Styela clava: one gene and its partners. The protein of the gene in region 3 interacts with the protein of the main gene of each other region in a biochemical or structural test. Links are inferred from orthologs where the notes say so. Each region holds a gene or a part of one and is shown on either strand. Other genes may lie near its edges.

Evidence for each region.
Region 1: of the proteins of tyrosine-protein phosphatase non-receptor type 11-like (region 3) and parafibromin-like, one has a biochemical effect on the other in vitro, tested with the Homo sapiens proteins (2 studies listed by BioGRID and IntAct). The link is inferred for Styela clava from reciprocal best matches to the Homo sapiens genes PTPN11 and CDC73.
Region 2: the proteins of tyrosine-protein phosphatase non-receptor type 11-like (region 3) and caveolin-1-like form a complex in vitro, tested with the Homo sapiens proteins (2 studies listed by BioGRID). The link is inferred for Styela clava from reciprocal best matches to the Homo sapiens genes PTPN11 and CAV1.

Annotation. Positions count from the first base shown.
Region 1 is NC_135254.1:14,448,034-14,456,129, reverse strand, and holds the start of parafibromin-like, read right to left. Parts: upstream 3,017-8,096; 5' UTR 2,947-3,016; coding exon 2,816-2,946; intron 706-2,815; coding exon 530-705; intron 165-529; coding exon 1-164. Other genes in the region: parafibromin-like, read right to left, coding at 7,813-7,968.
Region 2 is NC_135258.1:20,350,470-20,358,303, reverse strand, and holds caveolin-1-like, read left to right. Parts: upstream 1-5,072; 5' UTR 5,073-5,131; coding exon 5,132-5,449; intron 5,450-6,040; coding exon 6,041-6,265; intron 6,266-6,696; coding exon 6,697-6,816; 3' UTR 6,817-7,318; downstream 7,319-7,834. Other genes in the region: caveolin-3-like, read left to right, coding at 1,490-1,753, 2,138-2,482. UniProt on the Homo sapiens protein: May act as a scaffolding protein within caveolar membranes. Forms a stable heterooligomeric complex with CAV2 that targets to lipid rafts and drives caveolae formation. Mediates the recruitment of CAVIN proteins (CAVIN1/2/3/4) to the caveolae.
Region 3 is NC_135256.1:10,913,244-10,920,204, reverse strand, and holds the start of tyrosine-protein phosphatase non-receptor type 11-like, read right to left. Parts: upstream 3,025-6,961; 5' UTR 2,798-3,024; intron 1-2,797. Other genes in the region: plastin-2-like, read right to left, coding at 5,871-6,021, 6,947-6,961. UniProt on the Homo sapiens protein: Acts downstream of various receptor and cytoplasmic protein tyrosine kinases to participate in the signal transduction from the cell surface to the nucleus. Positively regulates MAPK signal transduction pathway. Dephosphorylates GAB1, ARHGAP35 and EGFR.

The DNA.
Region 1 (8,096 bases), on a different chromosome or scaffold from region 3:
TATTATTTTAGTTGCGTCTTCTGTTCTTGCACGCTTCGCTCCGGGTTCTTGACTTGACCCATCATCCGTCGTACCAGCGCTACTTGCAACTGGTCGTTTTACTTTGCTCGGTCTCTGCATTGTGATTTCCAAAGGTGCACTTTTATCGATATTATTTGATGTAGCTAGAAATAACCAGAGAGTATAGTTATAAAGAAGTTTTGAGATGAATAATAACAAAATTAGGTTTTTTAAGCATTGAGGATGTCTCAGATCTTAATGAATGTTAGATTATTCATAATAGATATATTAACATTGTAACATCCCATAATGTAAAAGCATAGAATTATCACATCTATCCCAGAGTGAGGAAAGTCGATAAGATGGCTTATTCATATCAGAACCAAAGGTTTTACTGAGCGTAATCAATCTACGAATTAAGACGATTTAAATAATTTTGACTAGCAGCAAAAATTGAATTGTTATGTATGAATATTCCTGGAATTTTTTTTTTTCAAACCGATAGATAATGTGAAAAAATAACAATTACAAATTTCTCCATCCAGGTAACTGAGAAGATCTTTTCTGTCTGGTCTTCGGACAACAGGAATATCTTCTGCAGCAGCATGACGTACGTACAGGGGATGTGACAATTTAATATTCTTCAGAAGAAAGAGGATTGAGTCCAAAGTGTAATATTCCTTTGCATTTCCATCCTTACCAGTTCTGATAAGGCAGAAAATAATGAGAAATTTTGAGAATTTGTATATTGCCAATAGAATACAAAATGAGAATTTAATAATACACAACTAATATATGATAAATAGCTATCCCCACTCTGATATGCAATAATTGAAGCATACTTTTCTTACTAAAAATTAACAATGCTATTAAAATAATGAGACAATCATGTGAATAAATGTCATTTTTAGAAGAAATAGTAGACATTCTTCATAATATATTCATATTTTACGGCTACTTATTCTATATGAGTATAAAAAACATATGCCTAAAAGCGTCAGTTATGCAGATCAATGAAGTATGGAAATGAATGATGCAAGCAATACACCAGGGGTCGGCAACCCCTGGCACGTGAGAGGATTTCTCATTGCACGCCAAGTGATTTGATGCAGATCAGATATTTATTTTAGTAGTTCGACCAAAATTCTACATTTGAACAAAAATTAACAATTCGACAAATCCTTTGAAAAAACATGTGATGTTAAACTGCCGAAATTGTTGCCACTTTTCGTTACTTTCGGAAAAGCGATGGATCAGAGGCCTAAATCTGTACGGGAATTCAGTGTAGATAAGCATATGCGGTGCAGCGGTGCCAGATTTGGCTACTTCAGAAACGCTTCGCTACCTGAAACTACTCGTTCACCTACTAGCAACTTTTTATACTATTGTTGGGTTACTTTTTGCCCTTTGATAATCGTGAAATATTGAATATTATTTCATCAATTCATACTTTTGGGCGATTCGTACAGCTTTTTGCTAAAATCGCCAATTATTTTTGTCAGCGTGACGTGTTATTCTGACCGTAAACACTTTTAAGTCGGTGTTTATTCTCCCAGAATCACAAAAAGTATTTCACGTCAACGATAATAACTATTTTATTTTTGTATTCGCCCAGAATTGTGAATTGGCTGAGAGTTATTATACAATAATCGGCAGCGAGTTGCTTTAAGTCTAAAAGGAGTGGAGCAGCGACGCAAATTTTTTTATTGAAAAGCGGCAATATAAAATACTAAAAATAGAACCGTAAATAATTTGTTGTACGAGGCCCGTGACAGATTAAAACTGCTTCTTTAGGCATTGTAAAATTTCGTGTGCCTATTGCACACATAAGTTTGAGCGGCCATTAGAATAGAAACACGGTTAAATGTTGCGCGGATTTACCTTTTTATCAATTACTTTAAATTGCCGTCGGGAATTTTCGTGTTAATATTATACATTTCATATTATAAGGTTGGAAACGTGACTTTTTCCCGATCGAGTCGTGTTGAGATATAAGATAATTAATTAAAGTATATTCAATCAATTTTTATTGTACCAAAATAAATTTTACTCTGTGAGCTTTTATAGCAGATTTAGGGATTTTTCTAACGGTTTCATCATCAAAAACAAAATCTGAGTGGCAGCATTGCGATAGAACGGAGTCATTTTTGCAAGTACAGCTCAGATTTGTCGAATTCGCAAAATTGGTAAAATACGGATCAAAACTAGATATAACCAGGAAGTTTACCACACATTTTTATGTCCGCGGATTGATGTGGTATTTTAGGGTAGTGATGCGAATGCGTTTATATTGTCGACGCAACTGCAGGTTAAATTGAATACGAGTAAATTATAATATAGCATGACATTATAAATATGGCCGTATCGGTCATGGATTGATTGCTTTGCACAACAGAAAAATCATTATATATTATCCGTCGAAAAAGCCGCAGGGATTTTGAGGCGATAAATAATAATAATTGAGCCGATTCCGACTATTCAAATCAGGTAGTTGATTATGCAAACCAAACACATAAAAATGTTTGGCACGCGAAGGTGCTCATTATTCATAAAATGGCACGCGGAGTTCAAAAGGTTGCCGACCCCTGCAATACACCATTAAACACTCTCGTGAAAATAAAATAATTGAAAAGGAATTGAAAAAAGAAATTCATGAACAACAATTTATAAGTATATATAATATAGTTTCGAGCTCCAATAAATGTACATGGAATTTTAACATTAGAGATTAATAAAATACAAAATTAAACTAATCAATCAAGCATTTTGAAATTTATTATGCAGAATATTGAAAAATCATAAACAAGTCACTCACCCCCAAATTGGATAATTAGTTTTTATATTTTTGGGCCATGAGAAGTCTCCGAACGTGATATAGCCATCATGTTCTTCAATCTTCTTCTTCGCCATATTGTACTCTCGTAGAAGGCTGAGTGCATCCGCCATTTTGACAGTTAACTAATTAAACAGTTACCGTAACTAACTAAACTCTCTAACAAATTGACATAAAAGTTACTACAAGTCTTACAAGTGCAAACAGTACCGTACTTTATTATTTGTGAAAACCTACCGGTAACGGTACCGTAGTCTACTGCGGTATCTAATTCTGTAATTACTGAACTAGTGTAAACCAGAAAAGTACGGTACCGGTACCACAAAAAAGCTCGCAAAACAGCAACGACCGATCCTGTTTCTGTGTTTAGGTCCAGTCGATACGATAGTCACTTTGCACTCGCGCAGCAACACTTCAGGTAGACCGGTACCGTACATTCTGGCAGATGTCCGTTTCTAACAAAACCAAAGTGACTATATTCACTTTAACAAAACCGCATTAATAATAACAAGCCAAGACAGCAATGTGAGATACCGGTAAAAACCGCATTAATAATAACAAGCCAAGACAGCAATGTGAGATACCGCAAAAAACTTGGAGACGGCTACCGGTATGCAAAACAGAGGAAACCCAGCCAGTATGGACCTTTTCCCAAGCATCGACTTCCTTCTTTACTTCGGGACATTGGCTAATCAGCAAGATTCAAAAAGTGACGTAACAATGTTCCCTCTTAGCATCCGCTCAGACAGATTTTCAAACGTGGTCGTGAACATTACCTCGTTTTCGTGTTTCTGAACTCTATTCGCTAGTTTTCAGTTGTGTTTCGGAAACTTAAATATAAATCAGATAATTCAATGATCACTCTTCTTCCTGGGAGTTTCAATTCAATTGCAGTAATGAAATATTAGTGTAGAAATAGCTGTGATAGACTGGGCTAAAATTCTCTACCGGTACTTTTAAAAATACAGATTATTGTATGCGATGAATCATAATGCTGGTTCGAAACACATACCCCATTTTACAAGCGGCATTTCGCAAAAGCACTCTTAAAATAGCCCCGAAAATTTTGGTAAAGTATAGGAAGAATTTGTCGGGGGTCAAAGGTTGGGGAAAGGTCCATTATATATATACGCTTTGAGCCAACATACTCTTTGCAGCTGGGAGAGAGATTTATTGGCATTGCCACAAAACAATAATTGCATATTTTTTGGAAATACAGTGCAGTGAACAGGTTGAACACAGAATCCGGTGGTAACATTTTCATTCATCTCTAAATAAATAAGAGGACACCATGTTTCCAGATAATCATTCATTTAAACACCTACTCGCAGATTGTTTTCTTGTTTTTCAGGCTACATCGCCATTATCGACTGATTATGATAAATCTCACATTCTGAAGGAATCCTGTGGAAAAAATTCTTTTGTCCTTGCTCACACCATTTATAACTAATATATTCAAATACCTACCTCAGTATCAATACACACAGCACACAATTAACATATAGGATAGGATTTAGGATAGGATTTACATATTTATCCCGGGGGAGAGGAAAGCCGATAAGACGGCTTATCCATATGGCGAACCACGGCCTCTCGTCCGGTTACCATTCCAAGTCTGGTATGGGATTAGTTTTTACTGTATTGTTTGTTTTCGGAAGCATGGACTTGGTGGTGGAGGAAGCATATGTCAATGAGCATATAGATATTGTGTGTGTATATCAGTGGTATATATATTTTGTGTTTATAAACAGTTATGTTGACCCTTGTTTTGTCGGATTTGGACTCCGACCACTCATTACACATAATTAGGAGAAAAACTGTGTCTTCCGCTTTCCTTCTCCGACCGTCGTGCTGGAGGTCGGTTGCGTTCTTTTGTTAAGTTTATATTGCGAAGTTGCCATACAATAAACAACCAATCCGGAACCCTTGAGTCTTCTGATTCATCTTCAACCACTGTAGCAACAACTTCTACCGTGACAATATTATTGCCAACTTGATCGTCATAACGCTACAATATCTTACGAATATATTCTGTTATCCTTGTCTCTCCCACTATCTTAATAAAAACCGTGGCGTGCTTTTATATAATACATTTGGTCCCTGAGTTAATGTAGCCTACTACGAAGCATAACAAGAGATCTCGATGGTGTGGCGCATCGTACTAAGCGTTAGGCATCACTCTCTCTCTGATATATAAGAATCAGAAAATGGTGAAAATGTCGCATAACCTGAACACTAACCTGAGTTCAGGTTGTGCGCCATCTTCGTGCGCATACTTCAGGAGGTCCCAAAATTGATATACGAAAGAAATCTGAAGATATTTGTTGAAATTACACTTGAATCTTACACCAAACCAGACATGAAGCATATTCATTACTTGTAGTCCTACTGGATATTTTGTTTGTAGCGCCGAGAGACTCGACGTTGGGCTTATATTGTGTTGGTTTGCTATAGTCGTATGCAAAAGGCCGATTTCCTTCAACCAAAGGACGAGACGATTTCGCAATCATCTCACTTATGGCAAAGCAAACTTTCACCGAATCTTCACACGTTTTGTTTGTAGAGAAAAAATTTCTGTTTCATCAGTGAAAATTTTAATTGCCGTACCTTTTCGTGACGAATTGTTCCAGTATACACATGGTATTTTTCCCTGTGTAATGAGCCGTATAGTCGTCGAATGTTGTATTATTTTCAAACAGCAATAATTGCACAACAGATGAGACACCGAACCTTGTTATAATTTCACACAAAATACAGATTCTCCCAATTCTCTTAAATTATTCTGTGCTCTTCCGAACATTTACGCTTATTAGAAATTGCCTATGGGTTTACTACTTTATTAAAAATGTTGGTCTTAATCTAGTTTTGCGTTAACTGCGCATATGCAGAATTAATCATTCATAAATACACACTTCAATGATCTGACCGAAACTTATTTATTTCGTCATAATAAAAACGAAATGAAAATTATTGAATTAACCATTTAATTATTACAATAGAATAAATATGAATACGATAAAACTCATAGTTGACATTGTCCTATTTTAGTTTTTTTCTGGAAAAATCTCAACGACGGCGCAGGCCGCAAAAAATTGCTTTCAGGGCTGCGTGTTAGAGACCCCTGAAGTAGGCTGCAATATTTTTGCCAAAATTAAATCGAAATGTTTGTGCTTACAAATAACTCCTTAAGTGTGTAATAAACCATATTCTCTGCCAAATTTTACCACAACTCGAAAGAGGCTATAAAGAAAAAACACAAAAAATGAAAGCGTAACAATCACAAGAAGTCTTTGTGAGAAAGATGGTGGAGGGAAACAGTGTTCAAGAAAAAAATTTGAAAGCAGTAGGCGTGCTATTTGTAAGTTCAGTATTAGACAGCCAATCAAAACGAATGATTTTAAAATCCGTCGCTTAAGTACAAAAAATAAAAATTATCCAAAATCAAAATTATTGTATAATCAAATAATCAATTGACCAAGTCGATATATATATATAGCCTAATGAAATGCTAGAATTTGAAATCGTAATTTTTAAATTTTTAACCGAATTTCAACGCCTTTAAAGAATGAGAAAGTGTAACTGTAAGGAAGATTTGAAACGGAAGCACGGCTCCAGAAACCTAAAAAAGTATAACACTGTGATTCTGTGAAAATAATTCAAATAAAGGAATAATATTATATAACTTGGATATTTTATGCATAAATCCATATTCAATTTCTTCATTTGCTCTTAGTTTGAAATTGCTTCATGCAAGAAGGTACACGTATGACTTCTCTGAGATCAAGTATTTATTTTAATCTTTTCACCCTTGAAGTATTTACCGTAACTTGAATCGCTCCTGAACAGTCGTTCTAGCATCACTGCATGCAAATCTGGGAGCTATCAAAGGGAGCTATATGTGAAAAAAGATGGCGGACACTGGAACGTAATATGTGTACCAGGCTAGGCCATAATTTTATCCAAATTGTCTTTATTTCAGTTCAATCACAAGTTCGGGGACTAGCCAAGTGACTCCCGTATTATTTGTACCTGGATTTATGGCCTGACCTTCTTCATCTTCTTTCCCTTGATACAATTTCAGACGTCAAGTCAAAAGATTCTGGTTTTTCTGCAAATCCTCCATCTTGAGCTGTGACTCCTGAAAATTCAATGTATATTTGATCATGCAGATTGAAAATGGTATGTTGTTTTTGGTGGCGCGCTGGCCTAGTGGTTAAAGTGTTAGACTTAACCATGGCATCGCATTGCAGGTTAAAATCTTAGGTGTACAAAATTAGTTAGACGATGACAAACCATAAAAATTCAGGCCGTTTCTAACTATAGTTGTCCCTTATTTAGTAGTGGCTCATTGTGTATAGCCTTGTTTAGTGCAAATGGTGCATAAATACGGCATACAAAAAAGAATAGAAAAAAGTTGAGGAGAAATGAATCTTTTTCACATATCGCCAACTTTATCAAGGTTTCCACTGAAAATCCGTTTACATTATCAATAGCTAGACAAAAGTAGATAATGCTCTAGCACATGACCCAGGTATTGTTGAAGTATAACATATTTGTATAATATAATGAAACAAAAAATACAGCCATGAAGCGCCTATTTCACAAACAAAAACTACAAATAAGACTAGAATTTAAAGAAAAAGTGTAGATCAGATCAATAATGTAGAGCAGAGCAGTAATACAATGTTAGTTGTGTAACCTGCGATGACATCACAGCTGCCTATAATGCCTCAACTGCTAACATAACAAAGTATGACTAACTGATTCATGAATTACAATAAAGATAACTAATAGCAATAAGCTATCGGTATGAATCAAGTGCAATTAATAACTGCATACGTCAACAAAGAGGATTTGAGGTAAAATACTGATATACAACTATTCAATATCATACAAAATTTTTTATCCAAAACAAGTCCCAATAAACTAAAGGCGTTGTAATTTAAAGATAAATAAACTAACCAAATACCTCTTCTAGTTCACTGACTTGAATGATAGTTTCTTTTCCTCATCATAATTTTAGCTTTGATTGCAGCAATTTTTTCCACTGATATCACGTCGGTAAGAGACTTAATTTGTTCTGTAGTTACAGTTTTGTCACTACCTCTTGCTTCAAGTTTTTCAACAAGTCTTTGCTGTACAGAAGAATTATAATCAAGATCAGTCAAACGCATTTGATACTGTTAGCCTTTGTAAATGGCATTGTTGACAAAAGAAAGAACAAGATCTCCCAGTGAATTTATATCGAGGATGGGCAAAATAC
Region 2 (7,834 bases), on a different chromosome or scaffold from region 3:
GACAGGTGCAGATGACGCTGCATTCCTAAACCCATCTAATGATTCAGACGCTAGCTTCTTGCTGATTTTCAAGTCTAAAAAATTAAGAAATACTTACAATCATCAAGAATAGACTCACCAATGCCAGTAAATATATTTTGTTGAGGGATCAATATAATTCTAGATATATCTTTGGTAAATCTGGATAATTGTGGACAAAATGGCAATCCTTGACGTATTGAACCAGACATTAGTCATATAGTGAGATAGAGAACGTTCTATTTATTAGATCAAATCTGCATTGAAATGTTAAAAAAGGAGACAATGAAGCTATTAACAAGCTTGGTCGAATGTCTTTCAATGTCGAAGTAAAAACTTCGTGTACGTATTTGTTAATATCGTTTAGTTTTGATTGGTTGCTGTACAATAAATGAAACGAGGAATCCAACTAACTCCCATGTTTATGAAAGGGTTGATCCGGCCCTGAATACATGCTCTGATTTCTTTTTTTATTTAGAAATTTTCAATTTGTTTCTCTCGCAAATCCGAGTAAAATTACTTGAGACAGTGTCACATTACCTAATGATGTTTTTATCATAACAAGTAGGCTATGTATCTTTCAAAATGATAGCAGTCTCTATCTATATATCGTCCCTTTGGGATTATACAAACTTCGAAGCGTGTCTCTTGTTTTGGTCTACCGCCGGTGAAATAGCCGAGTTGGGTCTGCGATGGAATGTGCGCACTACGAGCAAAAACGAAAAATTGCCTTTCTATGTCAATATAGTTTCAGTGTTAACAGCGGAACATTTGAATTTGGGCTTGGGTTGTGATTATTTATTTATTCTTGACTGTGAAAATGTGAATAAACCCCAAACTAAACGTACCCTGTCATTGTGGCATCATTTCGCTTGATTCGCGAGTTTCCTCACATGAGGACGTTTCCCTATTTCCTTGTGAAAAATAAAGCGTTTTACATTTAAAGGATGAGTCGAGTAAAAGAAGTAAACACAGACAGTACAAAGCATTGTTTATCCACTGTGGTCATTCAATTATAAAGTCTAAAATTATCAGATCTTGTACATAACTACTCTATGGACAATCTCCACCTACAATCAAGCATCCAAAGTCAACAGTTTTCAATGTGAACAGATAGCTTGAGACAAATTGTCTGTCGGAGTGATCGACACCTTTGTTGATGGTGGAATTAGCCCATCAATGTTAACAATACATAAATACTGCTGTATGGAAAAGCAATGTCGCCTCTAAAGAAGTGTCAAATGCGTGCAGATCTCATCAACGCCGACTATCGTTTTTGTTTCTTTAATATATTTACCACCCATTCGAGGAGCTAACCAGTTGCCTCTGCGTCATATTAAAACAAGAAGTCCTGAGGGAAAAAGCATTCACTTTGAATCAAGACATCAGCAACGGGAGAGTAAGCCGGTTAGAAAGCAATAAGTCAATGCAAGAAAGTTTTGTTCGGTAAGTATAACATCTTGAATACAGAATGGATTCCGCTGGAGATGCTCCTATTGTCAGAAGAAGTCCAGTTGAAGACCCGGCCCAAATCAAAGATAACGAATCAGCCAAAGCTGAATCTTTGCAAGGGTCTTTAGCAAAGTTGTCAATGGCCGAAAATGGAGACGAGGTTGTTATTGAAACCGAACCAGTACAAAAGAAAAAGAAAGGTTTAAAAGGTTTGCATTTGCCGGTTAGAGCATTTAAATCCAGAGAAGATAGAGATCCAGAAAGAGTCAATGAAGAATTAAAGGTAATACTATTCTTCTCGCTTATTCACATATCCAATCGTAGTATATAGCCTATTCATTCATTTAATACCTATTGCGCATTTAAAAGCATGAATACCTTTGAGCCTTAATTATCCAAAATCGCATTGTCCCATGATGATGGCAGTAGAATTTTTACACGTATATATCAAAAGAATATTTGGTATCGAAGCGTTTTAATATATCTTCAATTCTCATTCAAAATCGTGAATCTTCGTCGATAAGTACAGTCAAACGAGCCAATTTATCAGTTTTGGCTGGAAAGTCTTTGTAATCAAACACCGCCAATTAAGAAATCACCATTTTGAATATATATAGCCTATACTTTTGCTAATCTAAAATCTAAATATATATACTTTATATTTCAGGTTGGATTCGAAAACATCATAAATGAGCCCGAAGGTTTCTACACTCCCAAGGTATCTTGGCATCTTAGTCATGAAGTTTTTGGTTTCGGCCGAGCATGCTGTTATTCGATCACTACTTTCTTCTGTGGAATTCCTTTTGCTTTTATCTGGGGCATTATCTTCGCTTTTCTTGCTGCTGTGAACGTCTGGATATTTGCTCCATGTAGAAGAGGACACCTCATCAATATGTCATGTCTCAGTGGGTTCTGGTCGGTCTGCATTTCTACCATTTTCGATCCATTCTACAAAAGCTTCGGACTCATCTTCAGCAATTTGCGTGTCCGAACTGAGAAATTTATTGTTTAATTTTTTTATTGTTACATATGATTTGGAAAAAGACTTTGAGAAATTTTTTACATTATAAAATTCTGAAGCTTGTCGCAAACAACATTCACAAATTTTTATCGAGTAATTGAACGTTTCTGTTAGTCTAGCTGAATTCTCATGTCATTTTATTAGAATCAGCAAAATAACCGGGGTTGATATGTGATTTTAATATTATATTTGAAATTATTTTATTTTTATTCTATAACTTTCAGCAGTAACATATTCTTGTATTTTTAATAAAATCATTTACAATATATATATCCGTCAATATAGGATTTTTCTGGCAAAATAAGTGTGTGTCATTTGGGTAAATTAGTCAGATCGATGTGGAAGGAAATGAAGAATCGATGTTCACCCAATGGGCGGTTTAGGATAGTTGAGGTTGCTACAAGCGATTGAGGGCAATTCAAATGTTAGACGGCTGATGGAATGTCATTCTAGTACACATTAACGTTATTCGATGTGGTACAATCAGGAATTATCATATATATATATTATCATTTCTCTTTTACCTATGCTTGTCTAGAGTGTCGTGGCTGTACTTTTCTATTTTGGGCTTGAGATTACTGCTATTCTAAATTGCTGCAGATTGCAGATATTAATTAATGGATAAAATATTCATCCGTATGATTATAATAAAATACCTTTTTTACAATTTTTATTAATTGGGGATATAACTCCTATGGAGTTATCACTTATGAATCAGATAAGACTTTCGTGTTTGGCAAAAGTATGTCAAGTCTCAACAGGACACAATTAATTGAGCGATGAGTTCGTGTGTGTGTTAATCTTCTTGAATGTGCGATGTCGTTGCATCTTTGCTGAAGGATGCAAAATGTAGACGATACAACAAACCGAGCTCGAGTTAATGTTGAGCTTAAACGCTGTCGACAATATCCGATAGAGCCGTGTTATATATACAATATCATTAATAGTGGATTTTAATTAATATTAAATTAAAGCGCGAAAAGAATAAATAATTAATAAATATATTTACTGTGTAAGGGGAACGAATAAAAAAGCACAGCACACGTCACACTAATAGACCTGTGACATTTTACAGAATAGATGGATAGTAGAGTAAGTAGGCTATTTTAGTTCAGTTGATATCCCAATTTATGCCTACATCCCGTATTTTAACATTTTTATTTTGCAGAACTTCATCAAATTCACAGATTCTTATGCATCTGGCATATAGTAGTAAATCTGAGACTGAATTTTATTCATTGCTCAGTTAAAAACTAAATTAATAGATTGCTTTTTATTTATGTAAAATTATAAGTACCCAGTTCGCCGTACATGTATTTCATAAATGGTCATCCCATTCGATTGAATTGATCCAAGATCAAATTAATGTCGGATTAAATACTTTCATAACTTGCCACGCTATTTAGCCTTCTTATCATCTTTTCCGTCTTCCGGGTGGGTGTGAATGATTCGACAGAATGGGCGAATCGCGTTGCATTAGATGCTTCTAGACAATGTTTTTTGAGTTTAGTTTCTATGACAATGACAGCCGATTGCTATTTGGCCCTATATTCGTTCGAAGAAATGCAAGACATGGTAGAAAGTTAGTTGATGTACGAGAAACTCTATAGGTTAAAACATTTGAACCAAGTAGTATCAGATATACTCCAGAGTTTTAAAATTTAATGATCAAATCGTGCACATGCTTTAACGACCGAAAAAGTCTTTATATGGATGTACCATGCAATCATGTAGTTTGTTACTAAAAGGAAAATCCGAATACACTGTGGACCTTTTCCTTTGTTTTATTCGTAAATTTACAATTAACTAAAATCGATCAAATCGGTATTATTATAGCGATCGCCATAATCCTATATTACCCCTAAAAGCATGATTATATCGAATGCGATATTATGATACTATATATGACACAAAAGTGTATTGATTTCGTTCATTCCTATTTGTAGAGATAGTCTTGTCCAGACGTACTCGAGACAGAAAAGATGAAATAATTTGTGAAAATTTCACATTAATTGGCAAGACCTAACAATACAAAGGATAGACAATAGATTAGATACCTCTGCAGGAACAAACAATTTACCGCACCCGATATTTAAATTATTCCATAGGTAAAGTCAAAACTGCTAGCGAAGTAAGATCGCAAATAATCGCAAAAATGTCAAGATCCGAAATTAAGTTTGCTTCTCTTAAGCAGGTTTCGTTCGTTTGCGTATTTTTTTTTCGAAAACTACTTGCTTTGCACTGAACAACATGCTTGATTTCCAGTAATATTTAAAAATAATATAAGACCTTGTCAATGTTTAATGAGTTCAATATGAGGCAGGTTGAATGAATGAATGCAACTAAGTACGATATAAGAGAACATTGGCTATCACAAACGCACAATCTATTGGAGTGAGAAAAGTGGCACTTAAAAGAGAGACCAAAAGATAACATCTCTTCAGCACTCTCACTCTCTCCATGTTATTATAATGCATTAACACACTGATCGTTTTTCCCGAGACGCATCTGCGCAAACGTTTCGACAGCTGACAAGGAGATTCCATCGCCTTGATCGAGTTGCCGGTAATGTCATCAGTGGGTTCGCGTCGATAGCCTCCGTACAATATATAAATACGTTTGTCGGACTAAGACCTCGGAATGGATTCTGGTAACTTGAGTGGTTCCCGTAAATCTTTGGAAAGAAAATCGGAGATAGAAATGATGCCCGTTGATAGTCAAAGATCTGGAGGTGCAGATCCAAACTTCAGTCAAAGATCTGGACCACAATCAATGAACGAAAGCCAAAGATCTGAGGGAGACCCAGTTAGCATGCATATCGATGATGCTGGTATGGAATCCATCGAAATGGATGACGGAGTTAACGTAGATCAGCCAACGTCAAAACAGCCTTCAGAAAAAGCGGATTCTATCGACTACGACAATAGAGATCCCAACAATATTCACGAGGATGTGAAGGTATGTTAAACGCTATCTATATTTAATTATAGATTTTGTTATCAAAGCTCTCATACCAGAGTGGAACTTGGTTATTGAAGGTATTAAAAAGGATTAACTAATGCTGAAATTCAAAATTTATTGACCGTTTATTGGATCGTAAACGTAATTATTCAAAAAATAAAACATTTATGGTTTTATTTTTTCATAATAAGAACAACAAAAAGTTGATTACACGAAAATGACTCCTCATTCTTGTTGTTGTATATATGCAATTTAGGTAATGCTCGACACTATTGTAAAAATAAAATTCTTTTTGGTGAAATTACTGAGATTACTCCTGAGCATTAACTATAGTGGCATGAGATATCGCTTATCTGATCTAGATAATCTTTATTACATTTTATTTCCATGTACGCCATATTGATCGCAATGTCGTTCATAAATGACAATGGAACGTGATAAACTGCAAATATGCGTGCACTAACGATCACTAAACCAAAGTGCTGTATATGCAAACTAAGCTTTATTTGAACTGGCAGCTTTATTTCTTTATAGTACTTTGTTAGCTACTTACATCTTTTAAAAAGACATTTGTTCACTTTTACGAAGGTTAATTTTGCCGACATTATCGCGGAACCATCCGGAGCTCACAGTTTCGAGACTGTATGGGGAACAAGCTACAAGGTCTATTCACTTACAAAATATTGGATCTACCAAGTCATGTCGTTAATTTTTGGAATCCCAATCTCATTATTTTGGGGTATCTACTTCTCGTGTCTCGCTTTCTGCAGCGTATGGTGCATCACGCCATGCATTCGTTCATTCATCATCAAGGTAATATTATTATCCGAACTTGTAGAATTGTTGCAAACATTTTTTCATTTCGTGATAGTATTTCTGAAAATGATGAAAATGTAGTTTTCTTTGATTTGACTATTGCTGAAGTAACATACTGTACTTTAATAAATATGATTATCTTTTATACTAAAGCTTTCATACTAAAATAATATAAATGGGTGTTACACCACAAGCATGACGTAGATTTCAAATATCTATCTGAGGATATTTCGTAACGAATTTATCGTTCTGTGCAACAATAGTTTGCAGTTGAATTGTGAATTTGATATTTTAGTCTGTATTTTCTCTATATCATTATTTAAACCCAGCGTTGCCAAACACGTGACATTGTTACGTTATCACCTGAAAACAATATAAAAATGCATTTTAATCGGTGCTATGATAATATTCTTTTTTATATATTTCAGATTGGTTTCGTTGGAAAATTATGGGGAGCTTGCGTTGGTACAGTATTGGATCCTTGTTTCGAGTCTATTGGCCTGGTTTTGAGTCGAGTCCGAGTTGCAATGACAGTGCGAAAAGAATAATACACATTTTACCCTATATCACAATTTCCTCACAATGTTATATAAATCTTCAATTAGTCATGGAACATTATTTTCTAATAAACCTACGTTTTGATACCTAAACAATATTCAGATTTGATTTGATGAAAGCTATTTCTTTACAAAAAATTCATACTCAATGATTTGCTGAATTTAATCAAATTTTAAAGTTAATTCCCTTCTTAAAACAGTGTCATCATACGTTTACGTTGAATAATCATGTAATTTTCGATAAAACTATTATTAGTATTTTATCAATTTTATATTTTCATACGGTATTTGAATTAAATTAAATTGATATTTGCTAATTTCAAATTACTGATATGGAAACATGACAAGACAACGATTTGAATCTTCAATCCTGCACACCAAATATTGTAGATCGACTTTTTTTATTTCATTCATTCAAGGCACTTTTCCTTTATGTAAACTTACTAAAAATTTATCTTTTCAAATATAAAATTTTTTCAATCTCACATGAAAAGTTGGGAGTTTTTTAGATTTATTGGTATGCTGAAAGAGTAGTATGTAGAATGTTGACGTATCCTATCTCAGTATTCTAGAGTACAACGAAAAAGCAATTAATTTTTATATTCGTGTCTGTGTAGGAATGCATACACAGAGCATCATCAAATTGGGGGGTCAAAAACAGTGAGACTCGAAAATTTTAACACGAGTGAAATAAAAGAAATTTCGAAGGAAATAAGCTGTCAGTAAGATGTCATTCATAATGCAAATATCAAAAGATAGCGTCATATTACCCACAGGGAGCGTGTAGCCGTTGCTAAATACGCTGTGACCCGTGTTTATTGTTATGAGCAAAGCCAATATGGGATATTGAAAGCAGAGTAACTAGACCTCAGATCAGACACGAGCCATACTGGTCTGACGTGGCCTGTCAGATGTTTGAACTTGGCTTGAGGCATGAAAAGACCATGTAAGGGATATATTTCAGACAACGCGCACGTAAAATATATGAATTTAAACCGTGACGACGATG
Region 3 (6,961 bases):
TTCGGTCACAGGGGAAAGATTCGAAAACACCACTGGATAAAAGACTACTAATAGAACTTATTCCAACGAAAAAATTGAAGTGACATCCCACGAGTTTTCGAACTTTTTGAGGTTCGAAAATATTCAAATACACAAAAATTGAACTTTTTCAGGAAAAATCGAATTATTTCGAATCTTTCCGGTCTTGGGGGCAAAGATTTGAATATACCATTGGATAGAGGACTAACATAAAAATATATTTCAACAAAAAAATTGTAGTGTCATCCGAAGAGTTTTCGAACTTTTTGAGGTTCGAAAATGTTCAAATACACAAAAATTGAACTTTTTCATGAAAAATCGAATTATTCCAAAATTTTCCGGTCCTGGGGGCAAAGATTTGAATATACCATTGGGTAGATGACTAATATAGGAACACATTCCAACAAAAAAAATGTGGTGACATCCGACGAGTTTCCGAACTTTCTGAGGTTCGAAAATGTTCAAGTATGCGAAAATTGAACTTTTCCACAAAAAATCAAATCATTTCGAATCTTTCCGGTCTTGGGGGCAAAGATTTGAATATACCATTGGATAGAAGACTAATATAGGAACATATTCCAACAAAAAAATTGTGGTGACATCTGACGAGTTTTCGAACTTTTTGAGGTTCGAAAATGTTCAATTACACAAAAATTGAACTTTTTAATAAAATATCGAATTATTTCGAATCTTTCCGGTCTTGGGGGCAAAGATTTGAATATACCATTGAAAAGAAGACTAATATAGAAACATATTCCAACAAAAAAATTGTAGTGACATCCAAAGAGTTTTCGAACTTTTTGAGGTTCGAAACTGTTCAAATACACAAAAATTGAACTTTTTCATAAAAAAATCGAATTATTTCGAATCTTTCCGGTCTCGGGGGCAAAGATTTGAATATACCATTGGATAGAAGACTAACATAGGAACATATTGCAACAAAAAAATTGTGGTGACATCCGACGAGTTTTCGAACTTTTTGAGGTTCGAAAATGTACAAGTATGAAAAAATTGAACTTTTTCACAAAATATCGAAATATTTCGAATCTTTCCGGTTTCGGGGGCAAAGATTTGAATATACCATTGGATAGAGGACTAACATAGGAACATATTCCAACAAATAAAAAGGGTGACATCCTACGAGTTTTCGAACTTTTTGAGGTTCGAAAATATTCAAATACACAAAAATTGAACTTTTTCAGGAAAAATCGAATTATTTCAAATCTTTCCGGTCTTGGGGGCAAAGATTTGAATATACCATTGGATAGGGGACTAACATAAAAATATATTTCAACAAAAAAATTGTAGTGTCATCCGAAGAGTTTTCGAACTTTTTGAGGTTCGAAAATGTTCAAATACACAAAAATTGAACTTTTTCATGAAAAATCGAATTATTCCAAATTTTTCCGGTCCTGGGGGCAAAGATTTGAATATACCATTGGGTAGATGACTAACATAGGAACACATTCCAACAAAAAAAATGTGGTGACATCCGACGAGTTTCCGAACTTTTTGAGGTTCGAAAATGTTCAAGTATGCGAAAATTGAACTTTTCCACAAAAAATCAAATTATTTCGAATCTTTCCGGTCTTGGGGGCAAAGATTTGAATATACCATTGGATAGAAGACTAATATAGGAACATATTCCAACAAAAAAATTGTGGTGACATCTGACGAGTTTTCGAACTTTTTGAGGTTCGAAAATGTTCAATTACACAAAAATTGAACTTTTTCATGAAATATCGAATTATTCCGAATCTTTCCGGTCTTGGGGGCAAAGATTTGAATATACCATTGAATAGAAGACTAATATAGGAACATATTCCAACAAAAAAATATCAAAAAGTTCGAAAACTCGTCGGATGTCACCACAATTTTTTTGTTGGAATATGTTTCTATATTAGTCTTCTATCCAATGGTATATTCAAATCTTTGCCCCCGAGACCGGAAAGATTCGAAATAAATCGATTTTTTATGAAAAAGTTCAATTTTTGTGTATTTGAACAGTTTCGAACCTCAAAAAGTTCGAAAACTCGTCGGGTGTCACCACAATTTTTTTGTTGGAATATGTTCCTATGATAGTCTTCTATCTAATGGTATATTCAAATCTTTGCCCCCGAGACCGGAAAGATTCGAAATAATTCGATTTTTTATGAAAAAGTTCAATTTTTGTGTATTTGAACAGTTTCGAACCTCAAAAAGTTCGAAAACTCGTCGGGTGTGACCACAATTTTTTTGTTGGAATATGTTCCTATGTTAGTCTTCTATCTAATGGTATATTCAAATCTTTGCCCCCGAGACCGGAAAGATTCGAAATAATTCGATATTTTGTGAAAAAGTAAAATTTTTTCATACTTGAACATTTTCGAACCTCAAAAAGTTCGAAAACTCGTCGGGTGTCACCACAATTTTTTTGTTGGAATATGTTCTTATGTTAGTCCCCTATCCAATGGTATATTCAAATCTTTGCCCTCGAGACCGGAAAGATTTGAAATAATTCTATTTTTAATGAAAAAATTCAATTTTCACATAATTGAACTTTTTTTTCAAATATTCAATATTTCCATATCATATCATTATAATAAGAGACAGTAATATTCCCAAATCATCATCTGAATATAAATCCTCCGATAGCGTGATGTCCCAAAGTATTAGTTTTCGTAGAAAGTCAGAAAGTACATTTTGTTAGACCAGGAAACACTTTAATATGAAATTCGGGAATATGAGTTTGATATTTGGCTGGTATTTGGCTAGCATGACAGTGGTGTTTAGTACTGTAAACAGCCAATCTTACGTGAGTGAGGGACTCCGGATTCAAGTCGGGGACTCCGGAGCATTTATTTTAAATTATGTTGTCAGCAGTCGGCCTTGAAATCGAAGTTTCAGACATTCAGAAGTAAATTTCAACCATAAAAAAGTTTATTAAACGTTCCAAACAGTCTCCTGAAAAAGTTTTCATCAAAATTTAATTTACTCGGGAGTCGAAACCTCCGTCAACCGGGAGTCGGAGTCGAACATGGCGCGGCGGCGGTGTGGCTCAACGGGCTAAGCGTTAGGAATACGCTCGCCACCGCACCTCTAATTACTCTGCGTGGGTTCGCAGGTTCGAATCCCATGCAGGGATGGTTATGTGCGAGAGGATTGCTGGACTCCTCGCCGTCGTTGGGTGGTTCACGTAACCGCTGGTCGGTTACGGCTTCCTCCACCACCAAGTTCATGCTTCCGAAAATATACAATACAGTAAAAAACTAATCCCATACCCGACTAGGAATGGTAACCGGACGAGAGGCCGTGGTTCGCCATATGGATAAGCCGTCTTATCGGCTTTCCTCTCCCCCGGGATAAATATGTAAATCCTATCCTATCCTAACATTATTTAACTCTTACTTTCAAATATATTTGCTCTTTTTCAATGGTAGAGTTTTATCTAATGTGCGCGTGTAGCTATATCGTTGTTAGGACGTCGGGTCAATATATTTATGTGGTAGACAAGGGTGAGTTAATGAACACCCGCCACTCCTGTTGGTAACACCGGTTTCCTTAAAATTCGCTCTCAGCAATGCTGATTTTGAAGTCAGTTTCCATCGGATGATCGTTGATATTGTGTTGCTAAACCTTGCTGTTGGGAAAAATCGCATTCCTCCACAACTAATGGACCAACCAACCGATTTCAGGTATTCAGTACTAAAGATGGAATGGCTCTCATGGTTATTTCATAATTAATTCGTTCGAAAATACTACGTATTCGTATAGCAGAGAAATATAATTGCTACTCCCTTTTCAGTGTACACAGGAACAACTGATCATTCTAGTTACATTGTTTCGTTTCCTGCTCTTGATCATTCATTAACAGATTATGAGAAAAGAGCTTGACTTGATTTTTATTGTAACCTAGGTCCTAGTGTATATAAATTGGCTGTGTACAAGTCCATAAATCCAGAGTCGACTCACGGGCAATCAGAGTCTAGTAGTTGGTAGATGACGAATCTGAATTTTCCCATTTAGATGACGAGTCTTTGACAAATGACGATTCTGGTCCAATCAAGGACTTTAGCCTCCCTAACATTGGTTGTGCCTAGCTAAATTTTCACATTTATCTTGACTGGTAACATGGGTTTACCATTCGACAGATCACAGTTTTTGTTCGTTCTCCATTCTAAATAAGGTATGGCAATATTTTATCAGATATTAGTTCTAAATGGCCTGGAAAGGTGCAAATACCCCCTTTTTAATCATTGGCAAATTTTTAAACCATAAAAGAAAATCCAATTTGCAACGGTTATGAACCAGAACATCTTTACATAAACAAAATTTACTCGATCAGCGCTTCATCAACCCACCAGAGAATTTAATATCCTCAACCATACCCAGTAATCCTATAAATTCATAAAGAATCATGACACACATTTATAACTGGATGATTAGTGTTATAGTATATAATAGCTGATATCAATATCACACACACTCCTTGTATTAAAATTTGAAAATGTGGTTTAACGAGCATTAGATTTGGTGAAAAACTAAATAGCGAGCTTTACTGCATAGGAAATGCACTTTAACAAAACTTTTTGCCGATTTAAACAAGAAACTCATTTGAAAGTGACAAAATTAGACTTCGTGAATCAAAACATTCAACGAAAATTATTTACCAAAAATAATTGAACTCAACCGAAATTGCATTTTTAGTGAAAACAAACTTACAAGCGACTTGGAATGATGCAACAGAATAATATGAAAAATGCATTATTGTTATTGCTAATATTGTGGATTGTGAATCGGTAATAAAGGCATAATTCGGTGTAGTAGCATAATTGTCTAATACTGAATCCCACAAACCATTATTCATAAATTCACAAAATAAGTTTTAATTGCTATTTGGACAGATAGTTACAGCATAGTACGCTACATAGAAATAAGAGTGGCCAAAATAATTTCAATGCGTGCTTTTAATTTCAAATTTACCATTGCTCTAAAAGAATCCAGTGGCCAAAAAAAGTTTAATATGTGATTTTAATTTCAAATTTCACCATTGCACTAAAAAAATCCTGATAAAAAATTTGAATAAAATATTTGAAAAAAGTAACGGTATGATATTGTATTTTTTGGTCACACAAAACATATAATATTAGCAGTAACAAAAGCCTATCCTACCGTGCTGAGATTGGAATGTAGTGAGTGAATGCGACAAACAGAAAATGATGTGTAATACTCGGGACTTGGATTAGTCATGGATACAACATAAACCTGGTGGCCAGAAACGATTTTTACAAAAAAAAAAAGATAATGCTTCATTAAGATACATGTTATAACAGGGTTAAATCCTCATCTTTGAAAAATTTTCTGAGTACATTATATACGGTATAACATTATGTTTAATATTAAAATATATCCAAGGTATAATGATACTACTTTATGTACAGTTTGAATAAGTGCCAAGTTTTACCAACAGATTTTAATGCCAAAAAATGCCAGATAATTACTGTTATAGGACTAAATTCTGGTGTAATTTTAATATGATAGTATAGTGTGTGTGTGAAAGCAAGAGCCAGATTAACTAAAATACCAAGTGCATGAAATGAAAGTGAAAGATATAAACCAAATGAATGTGCAATGACGTATTTAATAAAATTGTCATAATATGTGAAAATGTTACTGTTAATCATTATTGAAAAAAAAATGCGAGCAAACATACTGAAAATAATTTGAATTCTGGACCTGCTGCTCTACATTAAAGTAATGTTTGATGACTTGATGTTACATTCTTGAAATTTGCATAAGGACAGAATTATTGACACAATTGTTGGAATGCACATCTTCAAAACTTCAATAAGAAAGTCTTAAATTTCGAGTCCTCAATTTTCCCCCTCCTCACTTTTCAGCTGCAAAGCTCGGACCATAAGGCAAGCAAATATTGTCATTACCATCTTCTGGTTTACTTCCCACAAATCATCAGGCAAAGCATAAATTTTAGCTCCAATTTTACGGCCCATGGAAATAGCGTATCTAAAAACAAAATGGAAAATGCAATTAAGGTTGTTTGTAAGTACAAAACATCAGAGATTAGATTTTCAACTAGGATCAGTGGCTTTCATAGTTTAATGCAATTTTTACAGCCCAAAAAAATATGAAAAAACCTTAAGTGACTCTATCTGTAAGGTACGAAGGCCAAAACGAAGAAGCATAAAATATTTTACAGCACAGACAGTTTGACCACGAGATGCTAAAATGCGATCATGGAACCTTGACATGGTGCGTTTTGTTTCAATTTTAATGACGTCTCCGCACAAACACAAATCCATAGAGCCCACAGTAATTTGGGAAATAAATAAAAGTAATATTCTAGCGACAACATTATCCTTAATCTTAACCACTGGAAATTTCAAAGCAATTGGTCCATCAGTTATTGAGAAAAGTGATTTTTCCACAACAACAACAAGAAAAATACAATATGACAAAACGGTCCATTGGTCCACTTCATGTCCGACAATCCAATTAGCAATCTTGTTTATAACCAACTAAAACTAGGAGTTGAAAGGGGAAATTACCATATTCAAACTAAAACTTTAGTACCCAATTACAGTTAAAATGTGTTTCAAAACTGGTGATCTAAAACTTGTAACATCATTACACACAATTAATCAACAACAAATCTATTTCAAATCTTACTGATAGGGTCAAGGCCATTATAAGAAGTAAAAATGCCGGAAAAAAAGTATATAGTACAGTACAGTATATGGCTATATGCTATATTAAATTTTTTCCTTGAAAATTCCTGCTACGAAACTAAAAGCACCTTGGAGGTTCGAGTTTAATTTAGTAGAGTGGAATGAAATTTCAAATGGCGGAATTTTCTAGATGAAATTTCCCTAGCATAATTTTGTGAGTGTGCTTTGAATAACTTTCCAAAAAGCATAACGCAGTAAAGTACCTCGCATTGCTCTGC